3 linked regions of the Alligator mississippiensis genome follow. The protein of the gene in region 3 interacts with the protein of the main gene of each other region in a pairwise test. Links are inferred from orthologs where the notes say so. Each region holds a gene or a part of one and is shown on either strand. Other genes may lie near its edges. The genes, in order: CERT1, RTN3 and RTN4.

Region 1 (7,630 bases), on a different chromosome or scaffold from region 3:
AACCAGAAAAGATCATTTAAAAACTGAATTCTCATGGTCAAAATTCATCAGGAAACATTATGCCAAGAGTACTGTTGCTCGCACTTTTTTAAAATAGGAACACACATTTAACTCTATACACACATACACTACATATAAATTTCTTGTTTTTAAAAAGTTTCTAAATTGTTTTCTGTTTTCTAGGGATCACACACAACTGTTTTAGTAAAAAGACATTAAAAATATTAACAGCTGCTTAAATAACCAAATCAATTAATGTTTTGTTCTTTAAACACAACTGCTTGAAGGAATGGAGGATGGTGCAGGAGACCAGAGAAGTGAAGGATGAATTCAGAGTACTGAAGTTTGAAGGTTGCAGGGTCAGCTCTGACTGGGAATGAGTGTGAGAAAGCAGGGTAGATATGCACATTTATAGACTAAGAGACCACAAGCTTTTGTCACCCCAAGTTCACTTCATCAGATGGAAAGAGAATGAAACAGAAGGTATTAAGACAGGGATGAACAGAAGAGGAGCAAGGGACAAGCATATCCAGAACGGAGTCAACAGTATTGGTAAATATACAGGAAGGAGGTGGACAGGGCAAGAAACAGGCAAGGACAGGAAAAAAAACAGACATTAAAGGGAATCATGGAGAACCTGAGTATAGCATGGAGGCAGTTATTATCAGGGTACAAAATAACAATGAGTGAGGGAAATCAAGGACTGGGGCAAAGTATAAATGGGGCAGGTTACAGGAAAAGCCTACTTTCAACCTTAACTCTTTTTTAATTTGGGGGGGGTGGGGGGGGCGGCAGGGGGTTGTTTGTTTTTATTTGGACCTGTAGCTAGAAGCTGTACAGTAAAGTTTGAAAAATTTTCCTTTTTCGTAGTCAGGTGTTTTGGGGTTTTTTTTGGTTCTAGTATCTGTTTCATTAATGTTTTTTTCTTTAATCACTTTGAGGGATTCTTTGAACTACAGCCCTGATCCCACAACTTATGCACAGCCCAGTCAGTTTTGATGAGCTTTGCTCAGGCATGCTCATATTCCACACCCTCCCTCCCAAATGCAGGAGCAGAGCTGTAAATTATTTAGCACATTTAAGGATGAAATCATATTCAAGTTTAATGAAATCTTATCAAACCATTCTATTAACACATCCCAGAGAAGATAGATGGTAAAGGAAGCAAAGTATATTATGCTTTCTATATTTTAAATGAATCTCATTTGTTGCTATGACTATTAATATACAGGATACAAATTAAGATTTAACTAGAAACACTGTAATAGTTAAGAGAGCCAAGATAAACAAGTCATGTTACCAGTGGACAAAACTTTTGATCATAGTCTAATTGTAAGTGAATTTGACAGCAGCAATAAGAGAGAGAAAAATTACTTTAAATTAATTTCAAACATAAAAAAATAGATAAAACATCTAAAGCATCCTAAAATATTTGTAGCTTCCACTGTGCTAACATAATTTCCCCATTCCCTCAACATTCTGCAAATTTGCATCACGGTTGCAATTAATGTATGCTAAGTACCTTACTATTAATCTGCATGATTATTTCCAAAGGTATATATGTACAACCAGAGGTGGAGGGGAGGGGCACAGTGTTCACTGAAGCACTTGCATCCCCTCTGATTCCTGTTCCACCCGAAGTTTAAAACTAACTGCCTGGCAGTCACAGCAGCATTTCTAGTCAGGCACTCTGAGGAAGTCAATGGACTTCATACTTCATAATCTATCTGATTCCTTTTAACTTCCTTCTAAATGCTTCATTCCACAGGTGTTAATGACCCTTTCTTCCTTTTAAGAGTCTTGATGTTCCACCCATCAAGCTAGTCTTTCTTCTGCAATTCGGCTGTCTGTTAGCTGTTCCGGGTCATGAAGCTCCTATTTCACAGCACTGCAGATTGCTTTTAGAATCATAAAAAGTCAGGGATGGAAGGGCCCTTTGAGGTCATCTAGTCCAACCCCTTTCTCAAATCAGGATTGTCCCCTTCTAGATCATCCCACCCAAGGCTTTGTCTAGCCAGGTCTTAAAAGGCTCCAAGGATGGCGATTCCACCATGTCTCTGGGTAGCCTGTTTCAGTGCTTTACTACCCTCGTAGTGAAAAAATTCTTCCTAATATATAACCTAAACTGTCCTTGTTCCCTTCCATTGTTCCTTGTTCTGTCATCTGCCACCACTGAGAACAGTCTAGCTCCATCCTTTTTGAAACCCCACTTCAGGTAGCTGCTATTAAATCCCCTCTCAGTCTTCTCTTCTCCAAATTAAATAAACCCAGTTCCCTCAGCCTCTCCTCAGAAGTCATGTGTCCCAGGCCTCTAACAATTTTGGTTGCCCTTTGCTGGACTCTCTCCAATTTGTCCACATCCTTTCTGCAGTGTGCAGGGGGGGGGGGGGGGGAGGCGCGGCAGCAACACTAGATACAGTACTCCAGGTGTGGCCTGAATAGAGGGGAAGAATGACTTCCCTGGATTTGCTGGAAGTGCAGCCCAGTATGCTGTTAGCCTTCTTCACAACAGGGGCACACTGTTGGCTCGTATTCAGCTTATTGTCTCATGAGCTTTTAACTCATTCCAATGAAGTTACTTTGGTTTTTGCTTCAATCTTAAACTGAATAATATAGGCCTAGACCCCCCAGCCTATTGACAAAGCTTTTATTTTTATGTGGAAAAAAATATGGTCTATTTTATATGTGCTGACCCACCTCAGCATCTGCACCAGCCTGTTCAAAATCCTTACATCCGTCCACGTGCCTGACACATTTTCCATTCACTGTAATCATCAGGAGCCGTGAGTTCATGTGAAAGAGTCTACTTGAAGGCAGGGCAGGGCAGCACCTTGCAGGCAAACTCATTCAGAAACGGAGAAGGGTTCGTAAGTAATGGTCAGCTTCACATAATGAAGCTGCTATCTGGTCACAGCCTCTCATAAGTGAACTGAGTTTAAGTTTGAGTCATGAATGCTTATGCATTTCTGAACGAGTCTGTCCCCAAAGTGCTACCCAGCCCCACCTGCACACCCCACCTTGCCCCTCTCCAATGAGACTGCGCACCCCAAGCAAGCTGAGGGCAGACCTGCGCCTTAAGAAGTAGAGATAATACAGGTGAGCCAGGGACAGAGCCTGCCCTCGCACAGGCATGTGTGGGTCCCAGTGCAGCCATCAGCCTTGCATGCCTTAGCCCTGCCCAGGCGCTGCAAGGATTGGGCTCCTGGGCCCTCCATGGCTGGAGGCAGCCACGCGAGCTGATGCAGCCCAAGCACCTTGAGCTGATGCTGCACCACTGTTGCCAGGTGTACAATAATTATCATATTTGTATATCTTCAACCCTTGTGCAACATACAACCAATAATGGTGAAAGTGTTCAAAATGTACAATACATTTGAAGCAGCTAATTGATGCAGCATATGCAAAACCCAAGCCACTGTCAGGGAGTCTTAACCAATTTTTGGGCTTGCTGTCAGCACTTTCTTATGACAGCTTGCCTCAAAATAAAGAAAAGCTTCAACTTGAATGACCCAGGTCTTACTCATCACTGGCGGGTTACAGCGAATTAAAGTAAAGACCACAACGACTTTCTGGCATACTGATTTGCGTGTTTTTTCAGTGTACAATAGTTGTTTGGCAAATACGATCATTTTGAGCTTCCAATTCGATAATTTTATATTTAAGAGGTGGCAGCTCTGCGCCCCCGCCGAGGCGCGGCTCTTGGTTGGGTCCAGACAAGCCTCGGCACCAACGGGCACCGGGCCGGGGACGAGAGGCGGCGGGAAGAGGCCGCGCGGAGGCAGGGCCCGGGGACACCGCTGCCGGGCGAAGGGGCGGCCGAGGCGGGGGGGCGGGGCTCCCGTGTCTTCGCCCGGGAGCTACAGACGAGGCAACGCCCAGAACACGGCTGGGGACGCAGGGCCCACCCGCTTGCCGGCCACGTTACCTGTGACCGCAGGAAGTATCGCTTGCCCCGATGCCTCAGCTGTGAGCCGGCGGCACCTTCCCTCAGCCGGCCGGCTCGGACCGCCCCTTCCTGCGGGAGGCGTGACGCCGCGGCCGCCATGTTTGTTAAGGGAAAGACCGCAGACTAGGCAGGCACCAGCTTCCCGACACCTGCGCTAGGGTGGGGGAACGGGGAATCTCTCCTGCCTGGAGAAGAGCTACGAAGCCGGGCAAGGTAGCAGACAGCGGTCTCTGTGAGGAGAGGCAGGAAATCGGGCCCCACCACACTGAAGACCGGAAAAGTCACATTCAGTTCCAGGCAGTGGAGCCAAGATGGCGGCTGCCAGTTCCCCTCCCAGTGTAACTGCTTTCCCGCGGTGGACTGCGTCTCCCAGCATGCTCAGCTCCAGGACGGAGAAAGACTGCAACTCCCAAGATGCACCGAGGCGTCCCGCCCTCGGCTGCCTTCGCGAAACTACAAGGCCCGGCGGGCAGCACGGCGCGGGCCGTGACACGGGGCGGGGGCGCGGCGCGGCGCGGCGCGGGCCAGGGGGGGCTGGTAAATAGTGGCACGGAGCGACCTCCCTGTGTAAGATGGCGGCGGCGGCGCTCTGAGCGGCGGCAGCGACTCCGGTGTTCGCTGCGGGCTGGGGCCGCACGGCGCAGAGGCGGGAGCCAAGCCAAGCCGCGGCGGGTGCAGCCAGGTCGGGCGCGGGACCGCGCAGGTGGAGCCAGTGGCTGCGGCGGGAGGCGGCTGCGGTGAGCGGGGGCCGCGCCGCGATTCCCTGCTCGGTGGCGGCGGCGGGTCAGGCCCCCATGTCGGACAACCAGAGCTGGAACTCGTCCGGCTCCGAGGAGGACCCCGAGACCGAGTCCGGGCCGCCTGTTGAGCTCTGCGGCGTCCTCAGCAAGGTAGGGACGGCGCCGCCCGCTTGGCGCTGCCCTCCCCGCGGCCGGGCGGGCACGTTGGGGTAGCCGGCGGGCGTCGGGCACGGGGAGGGCTCGGGCTGAGGATGCTTCTAGCGCCCGTCCTGAGAGCGGCGAAGTCTCCGCTCGCCCCCACCCCCAAATGGGGAGTCATCGCCGCCCGCACGAATGTCTGCCCCGGCGCCCCCTCCCCTCCCCTCCCCTCCCCTCCCGGGCCGGCACGGGCGGAGCCGCGCATCAGGTCCGCGAGCGGAGTTGGGCATGCGGTGGTCGCCCGGGGCTCGGCTCGCCCGGGGAAAATGCTGCTCATTTTTCTTTCTCTCATTTTGTTTCTTTTTTTTTCTGGTATGGTCTCTCTCTCTCTCTCTCTCTCTCTCTTATTCTCCCCCCCCTCCCCCCCCCAAGCAGCATGTGATGCTCGCACACAAATCACTTCCCATAAGTAGGGAGACGTCAAAGAGGAGTGGCACAACCTTTAGCCCAAGTATCAAAACAGTGCAATCAAACCACCCCCTGCCGCAGGAGATGTGGGGGGTGCGAGAGGAGGAAAATGGCACTGATGCTGCTTTTTTCCCAATTCTTGCTGCTGCTTTTTTTTCTGCTTTCCATGGGGGGAGCCAAACCTTTTCCTTTTGGTTTGGAAATGTAAGGAGACGGCTCACAACTGCAGGCAAAATGAGATTAAATAGGCTTTTAATAGATTAGGAGTGTTTTAAGGGCTAACTGTTGAGTGAACGGCTTCAGCAACAGAGAGGTGCTGGTGTTTTCTAGAGAAAGTAATATCATTATACACCCAGGTGGCTGAGTTCAGCATTTCTGTCCTGCTTTGCCACAAGGATGATTTTTAAGTCTGCACAGAATGCCGAGGTCATGGGATACTGAGATCATGAGCCACTCTTGTATACGAAGAAACCTATTGTAACTTAACCAGATGTTATGCTTTTTTGTAAGGGAGTGTATGAGCTCTTTCCAACTGGAAAATGTTTCTTAGCTCAGATGGGAGGAGTGCTCAAAAAGAGAGCGGCCTTGGCTCTTGTTTGGGAAATCTTGTATTTGGTATTGGGGGAGGGGACAGGAGACATTTCACAATGGTTTTCATTCATGGGAGGTTTTGGTACAGTAATGTGCTTTGCTGCCCTGCAACATTACCTCCTTATTAGGTGATTCAGGTCTTTAGGTAGAAAAATTATGTTTGTGGTGTGCTGGCCACTTGAATATTGGCAAATGACATGCTGCATGAAGTTCTATGTTAGCTTGTAATGGTGGGACTATCAAGTACGTGAAATCCCAAGGTGTCTTCCCAAACTTCTGTGCCATATTGGAAGGTAGTATGTGGTTGTCTTTCCTGTTTGTGGTGATTATGCTGATTTTCACAGACTGCTTTGCCTTTCCTGTTTATCCCCACTGTGTTCTCACATGGGGGTTTCATCTGAATTGTGAAGCATGATGAAACCTGTTGTAGTGAACATGCAGGAAGGCATTATGGCTGGCTTATATTCACTTGGTTTTTTTGCTGGTTTGTTTGCTGCTTAATTCATGTCTTCAGAAATATGAGAGCGAAATGAATTCAACTGAACTGATTGCCTAATGGCCTGTTTAGTATGCAAATGTTCTTATTTTTAAAGGCTCTTTCATATGGAACTATACTCCATACCAGCAAGAGCAGGTTCCAACTATTTATTGTGTTTCAGGTGCTCCAAGATATTTCTTTTCATTTTCCCCTCACCTGCCCTGCTCCCTGTGGGGAGAGCAGGTAGGATCTCAGTATTGGGAAAGGAGGAGCTGATTTATAAATAAAGGGCTTAGTGTTTGTTTTTTTTTTTTATGCTTAAATCTGTACACATGTTCTTACTGACTTGAATGTTTTTAAATATCTGCAATGCCCTTCTTGTAGTTCATTTTTTTTGTTTACCTTTTAAAGGTGGACACAAACTAGAAAAATTTGAATACAATTATTTAAACAGGTAGTCTTTCCTTTACAAGATTCCCCCCCCCCCCTTTTTTTTTTTGCTTACCTAAAACTGTATTGCAGGGTCAATTAATTAAATCAACCATTTAAAAAATATATTTAAATTAGGTTTTGTTTTTTTAAAGCATCTTAACAAAAAAAAATTTTTTTTAAATACAATTAAATAAAAAAAAATCTAATGTCAAGATAGCTTTAATTTAAGATCTCTTAAAGCTCAAAGAGATCATCATGGAATAGGAATTAACTTTAATTATATATTATTTGAGATGATATGTTTATATAACCTTTCTAGAAAAGTTTTATAAATAGGTCACAACAGGCCATGGACTATATTGGGGGTCCAATCTTACGGGGTTTTTGTTGGCTCCTCTGTAGATTAATAAAGATTAAAGAAACCCACTCTCCTGGGACTCAGTGCTCAGTCTAGAAGATCCCATTAAGCATCTCTGTGATGCTTAGTTTCAGTTGTCAAACTGTGGATTTGTCTCCAGAGATAATATCCTTGTTAACAGCAGTATATAGAGATGAGAGAGAACAGACGTGAATGATTACCTACTCTTCAGTCTTGTCTCTGCAAGTTTGTATACAGAGTCAAGTCCTTATCTTTCTCTAAAAGTGCAAAGCTTCAAGATGTTAAATGAATAAAGGATATCAACAAGAATGCACATTTGTAGAAAACGGCAATTAAATTGAGGCTTCCTGACCAGTGATTTTAAATTGTGATTTAAGTCATGATTAAAATCAATTTGATTTCAGTCAGATCCACCTTGCTGTATTGAAGCTAACATACTGAATTTGCACCATCTTTCT
Region 2 (7,498 bases), on a different chromosome or scaffold from region 3:
ACGTTGTCCAACGTGACATTTGATTCGGTAGGATGCTGTTGGCAGTTGTAGTGGATGTCTTCTATTCAGAACCTGAAGTGTCCCATGAGCCTTGTTGCCCATAGCTCCTTGCAGTGAGATCCCCCCACTGAGATTCACTCAGATTGGTGAAATCCAGCAACATCTTAAGTCTTTGCTTCAGGAAGAGCAGGTTTTTCCAGGTCCAGAAGTCCTGCCTGGAAGAGAGAGACTCTGACACTCTTGATCCTATAAAAGTTGCCAATAAAAGGCATCCACCTCAGGTTCTGGCAGCTCTGTGCATCTCCCTGGGAGAATGCAAGGTGGGACTTTGCATTCATTTCTCACAACTGGCTTTTGAGGACCTTCTCCACAGATGTCCAGTGTCGCTGTTCTAGAAAATGTCCCAACTGCATTTGCCATTTGAAATGTTTGAGGTCAGGAAGGAATTTTCCTCCATGGTCAGACTGGTATGGACTTGGTGTTGTGAGGGGTGGGGGGTGCCTTCTTCTGTAACGGGGTGGGGCATGGCCTTTTCCCTGGGATCTCTTTGAGTGTGTATATTAACAACCTTTTATAGAAGCAGGACTTTGACCACCATTGTTCCCCCTGCTTTACCTGTGGCAGGTTGGGGTGTGATGTTTTGTATTGCATTAGGGTTGATGATAGTTTTAGGAAGAGTTTAAATTATGGATTTGTATACGATGGGTTAGGTAGGGCCAGTCCTGCCTCAAGCAGGGGGTTGGACCAGATGTGACCTCTGGAGGTCCCTTCCAGCCTGACTTCGTGAAGATACCCCAGGCAGGATTCTCATATTACTCTAGTTTTACCTTCAGTGGGAAGGAAGCTTGGAAAAGCTCTCAGACAGGTTGAAGTGAACACCAAGAAAAACCTAGTCACTGGCTTCCCCTCCCCCCCCCTTTCCCCTTCTGTCTTCATTTGTCTGGATTCTCTGAAAATCAGGGAAGGATACAAGGAAAATTATTTCCCTTTACTGATACAATTTTTGTTAGGTGGAACATCAGCATAATTCCTGCGTACATCCTGTCCAGCCTTCTCAACTTGCATTCTCTGCCTTGAAGTCTCCATGGTTCAGCATGGTACCTAAGTTTTGTGTCGCTGGAGCCATGCTGTGTATCAGTTAGAGACCTGCCAAAGGTTGATGTCCCCCCACAGTCGTTTCTTCCACACTTAGCACCATCTTCATATACAGCAAGCAGCTTGTATTCACACACACTTTAAGTTGGCCAGTGATCTCTCTCGTTTGTGACCATGCTGGTGGTGCAAATGCTACATTGGAAACAAGCTTCAGTTGTGTCACTGCGTTATCTGGGGGATGGCGGTGGAGCAATATAACATGTGATGCCATCAGATGTAACTGAGGCCTTCCTGTCCTTCCAGTGGGCAGACATAGGCAGCCCCCCTTTCTTTTACCTATGGCAAATTAGGGTGTTCTTGGTGGTTTCGGGCTTTGTGCCTGGTAGTTGGGTGAGTAGGTTGTTTGTGCAGTTTTTATTTGGAATGAGCTAGACAGATGTGCACGGTATGGTTTAGATAGGGCTGATCCTCCCTTGAGCAGGGGTCGGCCTAGACGACATCCTGAGATGCCTTCCAAACCTAGTCTTTGATTTCTCAAACTCTGTTAACACCCTAATAACAGATGATTGCCATGCAAAGTAGGAATATACTGTATTCTCTCACCCAGAATATAAAGCACACTTGTTTTTGAAAGGTAGAATAAGGCGGGGTGAGTAGCAGTAGTAGTAAGAAACAGTAGCAGCAGCAAGGGATCCCAACCTGTTCATAGCTCCCTGAGTTGCCTGCAGATTTTACTTTTACTTTTGCCTTTAACTGGGCAGAAACTGCTCTTACTGTATTTATCACATATAATGTGCAGTGCAATTTACAGCAGCTTGTTCTTGTGGGTGAACCATGCATAGTATATGTGAGAAAATATGGTATTTGTGTTATACTTAACCAGCATGTTGCTTCCTTCAACTGGCTGAAAGTGGCCCAGTTTTCCAGACTGCACAGATGAGCAGGAATGAATGCCTAGGTGAAGGATAAACTATTAAAGCAAACCCATTTGTTTTTCCGCTTTAATTATTAGCTCCTCATGCCATTAATTTGCAAAGCAATTGGTGCTATAGTAAGGTATTTCTCTGCATTTTAACTTTATTCAGATGAAACTTGGAGGCTTATGCCTTGCTTCATTTGTGTGCATGTAAAACATTCCTAATTTTTAATGCTAACAGGCTCTTCTGATCAGCTCCAGGGGAGGCGTAGCATCTCGTAGAAAGAGACTTTCTACTATAAAGTTCTGTTCAGAGCTCCACCTCTTAGCAGACCTTTTGCTCTCATTAGTCTTGATAGCAAGGGTTGTTTTGGAGCTAATCAACACAGTTGAATCCACTTAGGAATTGCCACCGTATCGATGCAAATCTGACGAGTCTCCTCTCTCTCTCTCTCTCTCCTCTACCCTCCAAGGGTTTACAGCATCATAGCTCCTTTCACAACCACACTTCCAAGCATAGGAGCATTTCCCAAGTGGCAGTGTCACCCAGACTGGTGCCCGTGCCAGTGAAGTCATAGGCTGCACACAGAGAATCCACTCTGGGCACATCTGCTTAATTACAGTGCCTGGCGTCTTGTCCCGAAGCTCAAGGCGGGGTTAGGATGTACTATAGCCCCGTAAACATTTGTGTTTCAGGTGAGTGGCGTCCCTGATACGACTCCACCTTGGAATGACATAACCAGTCTCCCTTTCAAGACCTTGACCTGAAGTGGGGCTGTCATCCTAGCCCCCGGTGCTCTTGGCTACCAAGCCTACCCACACGCCAGGGTAGGAGAAAGGAGGAGGAGTTTTTCCTCACAACAGAACAGTGATTCTTCTAAGCAAGGTCCTTCTAAAGGTGCCACACACTATCAGCACTTAGTTGTGCAAACACCCGCACATGATTCGCAAGATAAAACAGAGACATCCAGTAGGAATCCTGAGGATCCAAAACATCCTGTCGTGGTCTTTCTGACTTCTTTACAATAGAAGAATTGCTCTATTTTTTTTTCATGGTCAAGAAATAAGATGCATCCTCTTGGCTTCTCTCAACCCATGATGGCAGATGCCAGGGAGAGTAACGCATAAGAGAGCGATCACTCAAGGTATACCTGGTACTTTGGTCTCCCTCAGAATCATCCACTCCTGGCACCATTGATAGATGGGTTGCTGGACTAGATGGAGCAGTGGTCTCAGCTAGAACGGCACCTCTTATGATCGAAAGCTAGCTGGCATCTTCCAAGGGGGGGCCTTGATTCTAATGAGGTTGAGAACCACTGCAGTAGAAAAGCAATAATGTTACACTAGGATGTCTTATGGAGGCTTCTGTTTTATCCAGGGAAGCCCAAACAAGTTCCTCTGAGCCATATGCCAGTCTATTGGGACATTAGTGATCAGGCAACATTTTCAGGAGCAGCTACATACAGCTAAGCATACATAAGTTCGCTCACTACCAGATAGGGACGAATCCAACCCCTCAGAGTTCATCCTCATGGTCAAGGCAAATTCCAGACTCTCACCGTTATGTCTTGGTGTAGAGGGGTTTTATACCTTTCAGGTTCAAATGTCTGTATTCCCACGCATTTCTCTTTGAGAGGGTGATCTCTTGGCCGGTAGAGTAGAGAGCAGGGAAACTTTCCTAGGGTCACCTTATTAGCATTGGGTGCGATTGCTGGTCTGTGCATCTCAGCTCCTTTGAAACTGTCCCTCGCCAGGTGCCTTCTCTCTCATTCTAATCATTGTCCTTCAGACTGACCTGTTTCTAGGAGCAGAGGATCTGGGAAGAGGAAGGTAGTGTGCTCCCAGCACAGGACAAAGGGGTGAGGGGTGTTCAAGACGTACTGCTTTTTGTGGTCCAGGCCAACCAGAACATCGAAGCTCAGCAGGCAGCGGCTGGACCTTTGGCCTTTTCAGGCTCATCTAGTAGTCACTTTAATTGGGGTGATTTGCAGCTGTCTCATTTGGATCTGTACCATATGTCATAGCATCCCCCTCGGTGTCTAGCACAGCATGCCTGAGATCCTCTTCACCCACCCCTGGTCGCTTTGCACACTTCAGGTATGGAGGCCCCCACCTTGTCGTTTGCTATCGGTCACAGCTGCTCGAAAAGTCCCGCTGTACATTGCAGTTTCTTGTGTCCAGTGGCTTTTCTGTCCTGTGACTGGCAGTGCTGTGCATGTCTGCCAAGGCTGGTGTCTTGGGCCCTCAGTTTCTCCCTCCCTTCTAGACCCTGAGAGCATGTTGCCTGTTTCGCTGTTAACCTTGTAACTACACTGTGAATCTCTCCCTCTCTCTCAAATCTCTGGCCTCAGAGGGGACTGCGTCTCCCCTTTCTGATAAGGCATCTTCGCCGGCGGATAGTGAGCCCCATGCCCTAACGAACATGAGGGTGGAACTAGCAGTAGACGGCAAAACGATGGTGGATAGCTTCCATGGGCCTAGCATGAATTCTGGAGTGGAGGCAACCTCTGTGGGTTCCCCAGAAGGCTCCCCCTTTTCCATCGTAGCGGAGCCCCGTTCTCACGGCCCAGCCATTCCAGTTGGTTTCCAAGAGCAAACCTATTCCACAAGCGATGTTCAGAGGGGGGATGACCAAGCAGAGCAGAAGGACCAAGGCGCTATGGACCAAAACAAGCCTGATGCCAGCAGCGAATCCAAATTTACTTTCTTGATGGAGCAAAAACAAGGTATTGAGCAGCCCGCTCCCAAAGACTCCATCTACTCCTCGGCCCAGCCTGGTGGTGAGACTGTGCTGGAAAAGGATTCTCCCGAGTCCCCGTTCGAGGTCATCCTGGATAAAGCAGCATTCGACAAGGAGTACAAGGCCTCGTTCATTAGTGAAGCCAACGATCTCGGTGGTCCCTGGGTGGTGCATGGTGAGAGAGAGCAGCTCACTGACATTCCCGAGGATCGCGTCTGCGAGTTTGAAGCCAAACCACGGCGGGGCAGCAGCGGCAGCTTCCCAATGGGCGCTGGCCTCTCTCGTCAGTCTTCCTGCACCACAGCTGCCCTGGAAGAGGTGTCCAAGTGCGTGCGCGAGATGCATACCTTCACGAATGAGCTGTTGACCTGGGACTTGATTCCCAAGGTGGAGTCTGCCAACAAGGTCCCTGAGTTGGATCTGTCAGAGTTGCCTTCCAAGGATGCCATAGATAGTCCTGCCCAGCCAACAGGAGAAGAGAAGGAAGCATTTAAAGCAGCCTCCCCTTCTCCCATCAGCATCAGGGTGTCCGCAGACTTGTCGGAGTACCAGTTCGAGCCACACTCTCCACGAGGCCAAGTTGTGGATCTGAAGACCTCCGGACCTGCCACTATCGATATGAAGGCTGATGTTGCTTGGACAGGCACCAGCCTGGTTGAAACAGCAGATGCAGACAGCTCGGGAGAATCTGACGACACGGTGATTGAGGACATGACCGCAGATCTGACCTTCAGAAGTGGCAAGTTCATCCTCCAGCCTGCAGAGAATGGCGCAGCTCCAGCTGGAAAGCCAGCTATCAGCCCTATCACCACTGGCGAAACCAGAGACTGGATCATTGCCGATCATGAAGAGGCCCCCACAGAGCTGCCTGAAAAGGGCATGATGCCCACCAGGACACCAGAGGACCACCGAGGATTCATCGATGACTTTGAAACACTCCAGGCTCACCCCGATATCAGGGGGAGTCCAGTATCTGAAGCAACACTTCTCAAGTCTTCCACTCTGGACTTTACACCCGTAGCTGCACAGCAAGTGAGCCGCACCAATTCAGTTGGCGTTGTGAAGCCACTTCAAGCTGGTGGAAAGCCTGATGTTCCTTCTAAAGAGCCTATACATGCACCAAGTGGAAAAGCCCCCTCACATATTACAGAAGGCCAACAGCGTCCAAACACCTTGAACGGGGAGAGCTTTGTGGACTTCATGAGAGAGTGCCTGAAGTCCAAAGGCAGTGGCGACTCCCCAGAGGACCTCACAGAAAACTTCTTGGAGGCTGAAGCCGTAGCTTCAAAAACTGCACCTTGCAGAGACAGAGCATATTGGTCAGAGGTGAAGGAGAGTCGTGAACACACTGAGAGAGACCTAACCTACAGCGGAGGCAGTCTCCAGAAATCCCCTTTCTCTCCAGGGTCCCCCACCACAGCCCAAGATCTGGAGCAGGAGCGACTAACGATCAAGGCCCTCAAAGAGCTAGGTGGAGAAGTAAATGAGAAGACATCTCCCACATCAAGCAAAGTCTCCCCGGTAGAAGGAAGAAGGGCAGCCTATGACCCCAACACTGGGACACCCCCTCAGAAACCCACCTTGGAGAAGAGGCCACTGTGTGTCCAACAGCCTATGGACCCCAAGCCAACTCCCATCCCTTGTGTTGGCACCGATGACAAAACCCCCAAAGAGCCCATCTGCGTTGGGCCGGCCCAGCCTCCTGTAGATCATGCTCTAGTGAGACTCCTGACTAAGTTTTCAGGTAAACCGCTCATTAGAAGTACAGTATCTCATTTGTTTGTCCAATGTTTCTCCTGATGCTACAGGTAGATATCTTAGGTCTCTGAAGGAAACCATCGAACGTGTTTCCTTCCTTAATCTTGAGCTTGCAAGAGTTCTTCCACTGTTCCTCCAGTGTCTTCAGCCCTCTCTATGGTATCTGAGCACCTTCTGTGTAAAATCTCTTGACCTTGATTGAGTTGGGGCATGCCTCTCTTGCTGGGCCGTCCGTGACTTTGTTGGGGGAGAGAAGGGGACCTTGTAGGGAGGTCTTTGGTAATAAAAGACCCTCGTATCCCTACTCCATTTACTGCCAAACCAGTCGATACAACCATCAAGAAATAGCAAATTCTCCATGTCACAGACATCCCTATTAATAACTCGCAGTTCCCGAGGCTTCCGAAATCACGTGTCGGGCTTAAAAAAAAATTGACTCTCTTCAGCAAACACAAGCGTTGAATTTATTGTAAGAGGTTATTGTGAGTGTTTCTCTGCAGAAGATAAAGGGTTGTTGGTGGGGGGAGCGGGTTGAAAACGGTCCTGAATAGAAGCTTTTGTTCACACTCCCCACATGTTTATGCTGGAAAGATGAATTTCAGGCCTCATCTTCAAAGCTTTTTCATGTTTGGACACACAATAATAAGGGGGTTTTCTTTTGCTGGGGGGGAAGAGATTCAGGCACAGATTATATAAGGTTCAATTGGCGTCCAGTCAGCATGGAACCGGTGACACAACGAAGGCTTCTGTTAGCGCAAGGAGCCGTGGGCTGGGCTGAAGACCTCTTGAGCGACAGCAAACAAAATGCAGAGAAGGCTAACGGCATGCTGGGGTGCATTAATAGGAGCATTGCCAACAGATCAAGGGAAGGGATTACTCCCCTCTATTCAGCACTGGGGAGGCACATCTGGAGTCCTGTGTCTTGTTTTGGGCCCCCCGCTACAGGACAGATGTGGACAAATCGGAGTGAGTCCAGTGGAAGGCAACAA
Region 3 (7,118 bases):
TAGAAAATAGCGCATGGAACCTCTCTCTTCCTCAGCAGTGGTGATATGTCTCATATCAATAGTAATTGAAAGGTATTACAATCCTATGGCTATATGAAATAAGAAAATTATCTTGGTTTCGCTTGGGTACACATTAAAGAAAATCTGCATTAATAATTAGTTTCAGCAGTGAATATTAGGACTAAATAAAAGTTTGGAGACTGGGGGCGTGTCCAGATGAGTTTGGCCGTTTGTTATGTGGTGCTGCAAACACGTTTGCAGCGCAACATACTGCACAGTCCAGAGTTCTCCGTGCCTGAAGAGCACGTTGCCTGAGTGTGTGCTGCTCCATTTTTTTTTCCTGAAGTGTTTTTTGACCTCTGGATATCCAGGGGTAAAAAAAAAAAAAAATATGTGGGGGGAAAAAATCCCCCAAGCAGTGTATGCTCGTGCAGCATGAGCTACTAAAAGGCAGAGCTGGACTGCTCGGAGCTGTGCTGCGGCTGCCAGCCAAGCTCTGCCTGGCAGGATTGCCATGGCTGCAGCTCCAGGAAGCCCCCAGGACCCCAGGTAAGGCTGCTGGGGACAGCACAGTGCTGGCTGCAGCCTCCCCTATACCACCCGGGGCAACTTACTGCATGCCAAAGTGTGTGTGTGGCATGCGTGTTCCCTGGGGACAAGAAGCAGCGGTGCAAGGTGCACCGCTGCTTCTTGTCCCCAGGGAACCAAACGTCCACGCAAGTCTGGATGCGCCCTGGGGGGTCTGTCTATACCACAACGTGGCAGGTCTTGGACAGGCCAGGACTTAACATGTTCTTCCTATACAAGTCCACTGACGTGCTCCAGAGCCAAAAGTTCACCTGTAAGCATACTCTGGACTCATCTCCAATGCCTGCTCTCAGATTCACTGGTGAACAAAAGCAGGCAGGCAGAGAATGAATCTGGAACAGCCTTTTGGGTGAACTTCTGGCTCTGGAGTGTCGGCAGACTCAATGTAAGGGACATAGGGAGTGTTCAGTCTTGTCCTCCCTGCCATCCATTTTGACACATTATAGACAGGGCCCGAATCATCCATTTCACTAGTAGTTGATTTTTCTAGATGTGGGTTGAGGCACAGTGAGCAGACCATTATACTGGCTCTGCCTGTGCTCGACCTGTTCTACTGATCTCATTTATAGCAAATATGATTTTGAAATGCAAAGGAAAATGAGAAATTAACATTTTTTGGTTAGTAATAAGCTGAACAACCATGAAATAGAAGTCTACAGTTCTAGCAATCCCTTGAGTCAGCTGTTTGGCAGGACAGGGACCTCAGGTGCTAACAAGAGGTGAAATAGAATCCTGTGCAAAGCCAGCACAAGGCCTGTGAACAACTAAAGCCATCAAAATGAGGCTTAATTGGGACTTAGTTCTTGCAGAGGGCTCGTGCTGAAGGTTCTGCAATATTAATGTCAAATGGTACTTACTAATTCATGTGGTTCCATTAGTCAAGTGAATAGTTTAATTTAATTTATGAAGACTGCTGACATTTTTAAGTTCAATGCAATGGATACAAAGCTGCAGACTTGGGTCTAGATCAGGGTCGGGCAATTGTTTTTGCCCATGAGCCACATTGGCAGTTCTGGGGATCTGCCACAGGCCAGTCAGCACCCCTTCCCCTCCTGCCCCCCTGCAGCAGGCTAGAACCCATGGACCACCGCCAATAGTGCACAGCCCCCAGCCTGCCCTGCCTTTGTAGGCAGCCCAGGAGGCAATGGCAGCTCCTTCCTGCTGCTGCTGCCACTGTCCCCAGACCTGCGGTACAGGTGGGGAAATGAGCATGCAGCCCTGACTCTGGCCTGCCACGTGCCCGCTCCAGACTCTGCCCAGTGGAGCAGACCAGCTCCGGACTAGTTGGAACCTGCGTGCACAGCCTTGACCTGCCCTGCACCTGCTCCAGACACCCTGCACATGCTGAGCAGTGGCAGCAGTGGTGGTGGCTGGGCAGAAGCTGCTGCTTGGTGTGGACAAAAAGCAGTTCCTCCCCCTCGCCACTGCTGGGCACTACTTGCTGCAGCTGCCTGGAGCCTGAGCCTGGGCTGCCTTGCTGCTCCTCTCCACTGTTGTCGCTGCTGCATTCAGGCCACCCAGTGGGGCAGTGATGGCAGCTCAGAGGAATGGCAGGGCAGCCCGGGGTTTGGGTGGCTGTAGCAAGAAGTTACCTTTTCTTGGCCCCACGCACTGGGATTGGGGCCAAGCACCACCCCCTCCCACCACAACTGGGTGCTGGGGACTTTGCAGTGTACCCGGCAGACCCCTTATATCGAGATTGGGGCCTGGCTGTGCCCTTCACACCAGGCCAGTACCCTGGATGCTGCCTTGCCTGGCTCTGCACACCAGATTGGGTGCCTGAGCTAGCAGCCAGGGCCTGGGACTCCTCACCGGCCTGGAAATTTGACAGCAGGAGAGCAGTGCTACTGCTCCCTTTCCACCAAAGTCCTGACTATGGGGGGAGTGGCGCAGGCTGAATGAAAAGGCCAGGGGTGAGAACCCGTTTCATGTCTGAGAAATGCCACACACATTAGGTTACTGTAGAAAACCATTTGTTCGCTAGCTGCCACCGTGTTGTCCCATGGCTGGGCTGTGGCTCTGTCTCAAACAAGAACCTGAGGGAGCAGAGAACAGTTTCACAGCTGACAGATGCCAGGGTCCTGTTACCTGGTAGGGGACATACCATGACCACCAAGATGGTTTTCCTACTGGCAAGGGAAAGCCACAAATGTGGGAGGGGATAGTACCCTCACCGAAATAATGAATAGTTAGCCCCCCACTTTGACTTCAGTGGGAGGGTCTTGGCTACATGCTGACTTTCTGGAAATGGGAGACTCCGCCCTAGCCTGCTCCTCTGGCTATATGGCTGAGGGCAAGTGAAACTCAGGGGCATCTGAACCCCAAGCCTCCAGGCCTGGGCCTGCATGTAGGATGCCCACCAAAGGATTTGGAAATATCTGAAACCCCAGGTGGGGGTGGAGGTAGCAGGCCCATGTATGGTTCTTGAATGATTCACATGGATTTGGAATTGATTTGGCTAATTTGACTTGGGACAGGAAACATTTTCCTTAAATAAAAAAAGTCCTGTCCCTGAGGCCTCCATGCTGCTCAGCATGACTGACGTGTGGCCCCGGAGGCTGGGGGTCATGGTGACTGGGCGCAGGTGGCAGTGGTGGGGCTGTGGTGGCAGCGAGCACGGAGGCCCTATAGGTGGCCATGGCGGTGTTGGTGAGTGTCTGCAGATGCTGCCTGCAGTGTTGCAGGGGGAGGAGGGGGCAAGCAGTGACTGCCCGGGGTTGCTGCCGGCAGTGTTGGCAGTGCTTCTCTCAGGGGCTGCACATGCACCTGTGTATACCCCCTACATGTTGCCAATGCTGCTCAGCCCTCTTTCCAGGGTGGGGTGTCAGGGGGGTAGCACAGGATGAATCCCAGCCAGGTGGTGCAGTGCCAGGACAAGCACCCACAGATCAAGCGTCTCAGTGGGGGCATCTGAATCCCAAGAACTTTGCAGTTGGGCCTGCCGGTGGGATACCTAGCAATGGATCTGGGGGGTATCTGAAGTCTCAGAGTGACAGCTTGGGCGGGCAGATGCTTGTGGGTTGTAGCACCATCATGGTGTCTAGAAGGATCGAGTACTGCCTGCTTCATCCACGTGCTTTTTGCTCAGTCAATATGATTTGGAACTGATTTGACCCGGAGCACTAAATATATTAATAACCCCCCTCAAAAAAAACCCAGCGCGGCAGGAAGAAGTGACCACGGGTGGGGACCCGGCCGGGGCCCGCGGCCTCCGGCTTTCAGCTGTGTCACTCGGCTCCTGACTCATCCCCATTGTCGGGCGGGGCCTCGCGCAGCACCGCGCCCGCCGCCCGCGCTGTCTACTCCCGAGCCCCCCGCATTCGACGCCAATTCTCCCCGCCCCTCGCTGCATTATTCATGAGGCGGCGGCGCCCGTTCATTGGCTGCGGGGGCGGGGCCTGGCGGCTCCTCGCGCTCCCATTGGCTGCCCGCTCCTTCCGTCTCCCCGACAAAGGGCCCCCCCTCAGCCGATTGTGACTCAACAGGGCGTGGAACGCGCGCACAGCAGCAGCAGCGGCGGCAGCTCCGGCCCGGCAGCGCCCATTGTCCCGCCATGGACGAGCCGGAGCAGTCGCCGCTCGTGTCGTCGTCCGCGGCCGCGGCCCCGGCGCCGCCGCGCTTCCAGTACCAGTTCGTGCGGGAGCCCGAGACGGGCGGGCGCGGCGACGGCGCCGAGGAGGACGAGGACGAGGAGGAGGAGGACGAGGACTTCGACGAGCAGCTGGAGGTGATGGAGCGGCGCCCGCCACCCGCCGCAGCCGCCGCGCCCCCGGCCCCCGCGCCGCAGCGCCTGGAGCTGGGCGGCGGCGAGCAGCCCCCGCGCCCCGCCGCGCCTGAGCCGCCGCAGCGCCCGGGCTCCCCCGCCGGCCTCGGCTCCTCCTCCTCCTCCTCCGCTGCCTCCACGCCGTCGCCCGAGCCTGCGCGGCCCGCGCCGCTGCCCCCCGCGCCCCGCCGCCGGGGCCCGTCCTCAGCCGCCGCCGGTGAGTGCCGCGGCCGCGCCCCTTTGTCTGCAGCGCCCGGCGCCGCCTGCCCATTGTCGCCCGCCTCGCCTCCCGGCCACGCCCCGGGCCCTCCCGGGGAAGGGGCGTCCCCTCTGCGCAACTCGCCTGCGGCCTCTGCAAGGCGCGGGGTTGCGCAGGAGGCTTGTGCCCGGGTGCTGCGCCTATAGCGCGGAGGGGCCGGCCCCTGCGGCCCGCCTCTGGGCTTTAGAGGCCGCAAGCCAACAGGGCGGCAGTTGCCCAGTTGGGGGTGGCGTTGTCAACTCGAGTGATCTTTGGCGGTGGTCTTAAAGTCTACGCCTTGGAAATGTGAAAACCAGTATCTGTCTGTCTGTCTGTCTATCTATCTATCTATCTATCTATCTATGCTGAGTCTTTCGTATCCTAAAATTTTCCATAAAAACTTAACATAGATGTATAAATCTCGATCTCTCTCGGTCTCTCAGAGAGAGAGATATCTATAGCTCTGAGAGAGAGATGCTCAGCCTTTCACATTTCCAGAGCATAGGCTTTAAGAACAAATGCCAGAAATCATGCTAGTTGGCAGCACTGGGGTCGCAATTTTCAGTGGGTGGGGGGCTGGGGTTTGGGAGTGAGGAAATTGGGCCATAAATGGGGTTTTGCTGAGGAAACATTTGGGAGGCAGTGGAATAAGATCTCAAAAGACCAGGGGCTTGCCTTTGGAGCTCTTAGAGGCAGCATCTGGAGGAGCCTTCCGTTGTTAAGTGTGGTGGGTGCTGGTTCAGCACCGCTAATGGAGGAAGCGCCACCAGAATTGCTGTCAATGTTGCTGAAGTTTTTTACGGGGGTCTCCAGTTTGCGTGTGGCTCTTGCTTTGTAACAGGGGGGTTGCCGTTCTGTTTTAGCCCCTGCCCTACTCAGCTTGAAATGCTGATCTTAGTCAAAGAAGCCACTTCAGGCAGCTGGAACCAGAAAAAAGGAAGTCTAGATGCAGGTTCCCTCCCCCACCCCAGCTTGCCTAGCCCTGCCATAGCATGTGCGCCAAAGACGTACAACCGTGCAGCAACATGGGTGCATAAAGGGTGTGATTTAAAATGGCTTGGATGTAACTGGTGAGATTCCTGCCTTCAACAAGTGTTTGTTTTCTATTCGAGGTCCATTTTAGTTTTCCTGAGTCTTGCAGCTCATTTAAGTTGTGCATTTAGCAGCTTTGCTGTTTCATCAGGTAGCTGTAGTCTCTCTAGTCAGTGTTGGTTCTTTACATAGCAACAGTCCTATGTTTCTAAGGTTGAGAAGAATACTGCTTCCTATTTCCCCATTCCAGTTGGATGAAATCATGGGATTTTAAAACCACGAAAACTCACAAGGGAATCTGGAAGAGGTGGGGGAGGGGTTCTGTGTGCTGACTGGGTAGAAATTTTTGCCTGGGCAAGTGAGTTGAACAGAATAGGGGAAGAAGAGCTTGAGCAGAATGACACAACAAAGGAAAGGAGTGGGCCAAGTGCAGAGGCTCCTTTAACTTAGAGGGAAAGAGCAGAGTCCATGGAGCTGTTCTATGTGTTTTATTGTTCCCCACAAGGGAGGAAAGCAGGAATAGGAGTAATTTCGGAGCTGTTGCTTCTTTTTAGAGTAACCACAACATATAATACAGGCTGTTAGGTGCTGGAGGAGAGGGTCATGGGTCAGAGAGGGTCTAGTATCTGATGTGTTTTTCAGTGGGGATCAGTTGCAGAATTTCACTTGGAATGGGCAGAATTTAGTGAGGCCTGAATTAGATAAGACTGACAGCGTTACTGATTCCTTGTTGGGCTGGCATCTTTGGCAAGTGTGGCTTATAGATAAGGGTTGAAAGTACAAATAGAATTGCACTTTCCCTAAATTTCACACCCTTCCTGGTAGGCATAGACCTTGGATTAGCAGTTGCTGGGGAAATATTTCAAGTCCAAGAATCTGAAATTGCTTCTAACGTAAAAATAAAATTAGCATACCCTTAACTAAGGAAATAATGTTTAGACATGAACTTAGTTAAACAGCACGAGTACTTCAGTTCTCTTGGGTGGAAGAGTATTTTAAGTTTATAGCATATTGGTGTTGAAATTCCAGGTGTTTTTTTTGAAGCTGGAGCGTAGGAGCTAACGTTGGAACTGTTCATCCCAACCAGAATGTTTAGTTTAGCTTTTTACTGTCATTTTGCGGCATATAGGAGAGTGAAGAAATAACATGATATGCATCTGTACCAGTTCAGCTCTTTTGGAGTGTTATAGTTGCTTACCTTCTTCTTCCTTATATAGGTTTAAGATGCGAGTGGAGATTTCATGGTTGTGATCTAGAAGTTTAAAATGTGCAGTATTTTGGTCAGAAGTCTTCTACAGTGAGATTTACTGATGTGTTTTAGTCTTGAACATGTTCAAAAGTCATAAAATGGCAAAAAATGGGGTGGTATTGCTTGTAGCAAGCATATGTACAGTGAGCTGTTAAACAAAGAATAAATACTGTGTGTGTGTGTGTGTGTGTGTGTGTGTGTGTGTGTTAAGTTTTTGAAATGATGATGTATGATCTACTGTATTATTT

Evidence for each region.
Region 1: the proteins of RTN4 (region 3) and CERT1 interact in binary tests that used the Homo sapiens proteins (3 or more experiments, as listed by UniProt). The link is inferred for Alligator mississippiensis from reciprocal best matches to the Homo sapiens genes RTN4 and CERT1.
Region 2: the proteins of RTN4 (region 3) and RTN3 interact in binary tests that used the Homo sapiens proteins (3 or more experiments, as listed by UniProt). The link is inferred for Alligator mississippiensis from reciprocal best matches to the Homo sapiens genes RTN4 and RTN3.

What each region holds. Positions count from the first base shown.
Region 1 is NC_081826.1:254,408,299-254,415,928, reverse strand, and holds the start of CERT1 (ceramide transfer protein), read left to right. Parts: upstream 1-4,539; 5' UTR 4,540-4,740; coding exon 4,741-4,836; intron 4,837-7,630. UniProt on the Homo sapiens protein: Shelters ceramides and diacylglycerol lipids inside its START domain and mediates the intracellular trafficking of ceramides and diacylglycerol lipids in a non-vesicular manner.
Region 2 is NC_081838.1:4,720,874-4,728,371, reverse strand, and holds the start of RTN3 (reticulon-3), read left to right. Parts: upstream 1-4,398; 5' UTR 4,399-4,433; coding exon 4,434-6,495; intron 6,496-7,498. UniProt on the Homo sapiens protein: May be involved in membrane trafficking in the early secretory pathway. Inhibits BACE1 activity and amyloid precursor protein processing. May induce caspase-8 cascade and apoptosis.
Region 3 is NC_081824.1:207,171,924-207,179,041, reverse strand, and holds the start of RTN4 (reticulon-4), read left to right. Parts: upstream 1-4,059; 5' UTR 4,060-4,141; coding exon 4,142-4,568; intron 4,569-7,118. UniProt on the Homo sapiens protein: Required to induce the formation and stabilization of endoplasmic reticulum (ER) tubules. They regulate membrane morphogenesis in the ER by promoting tubular ER production.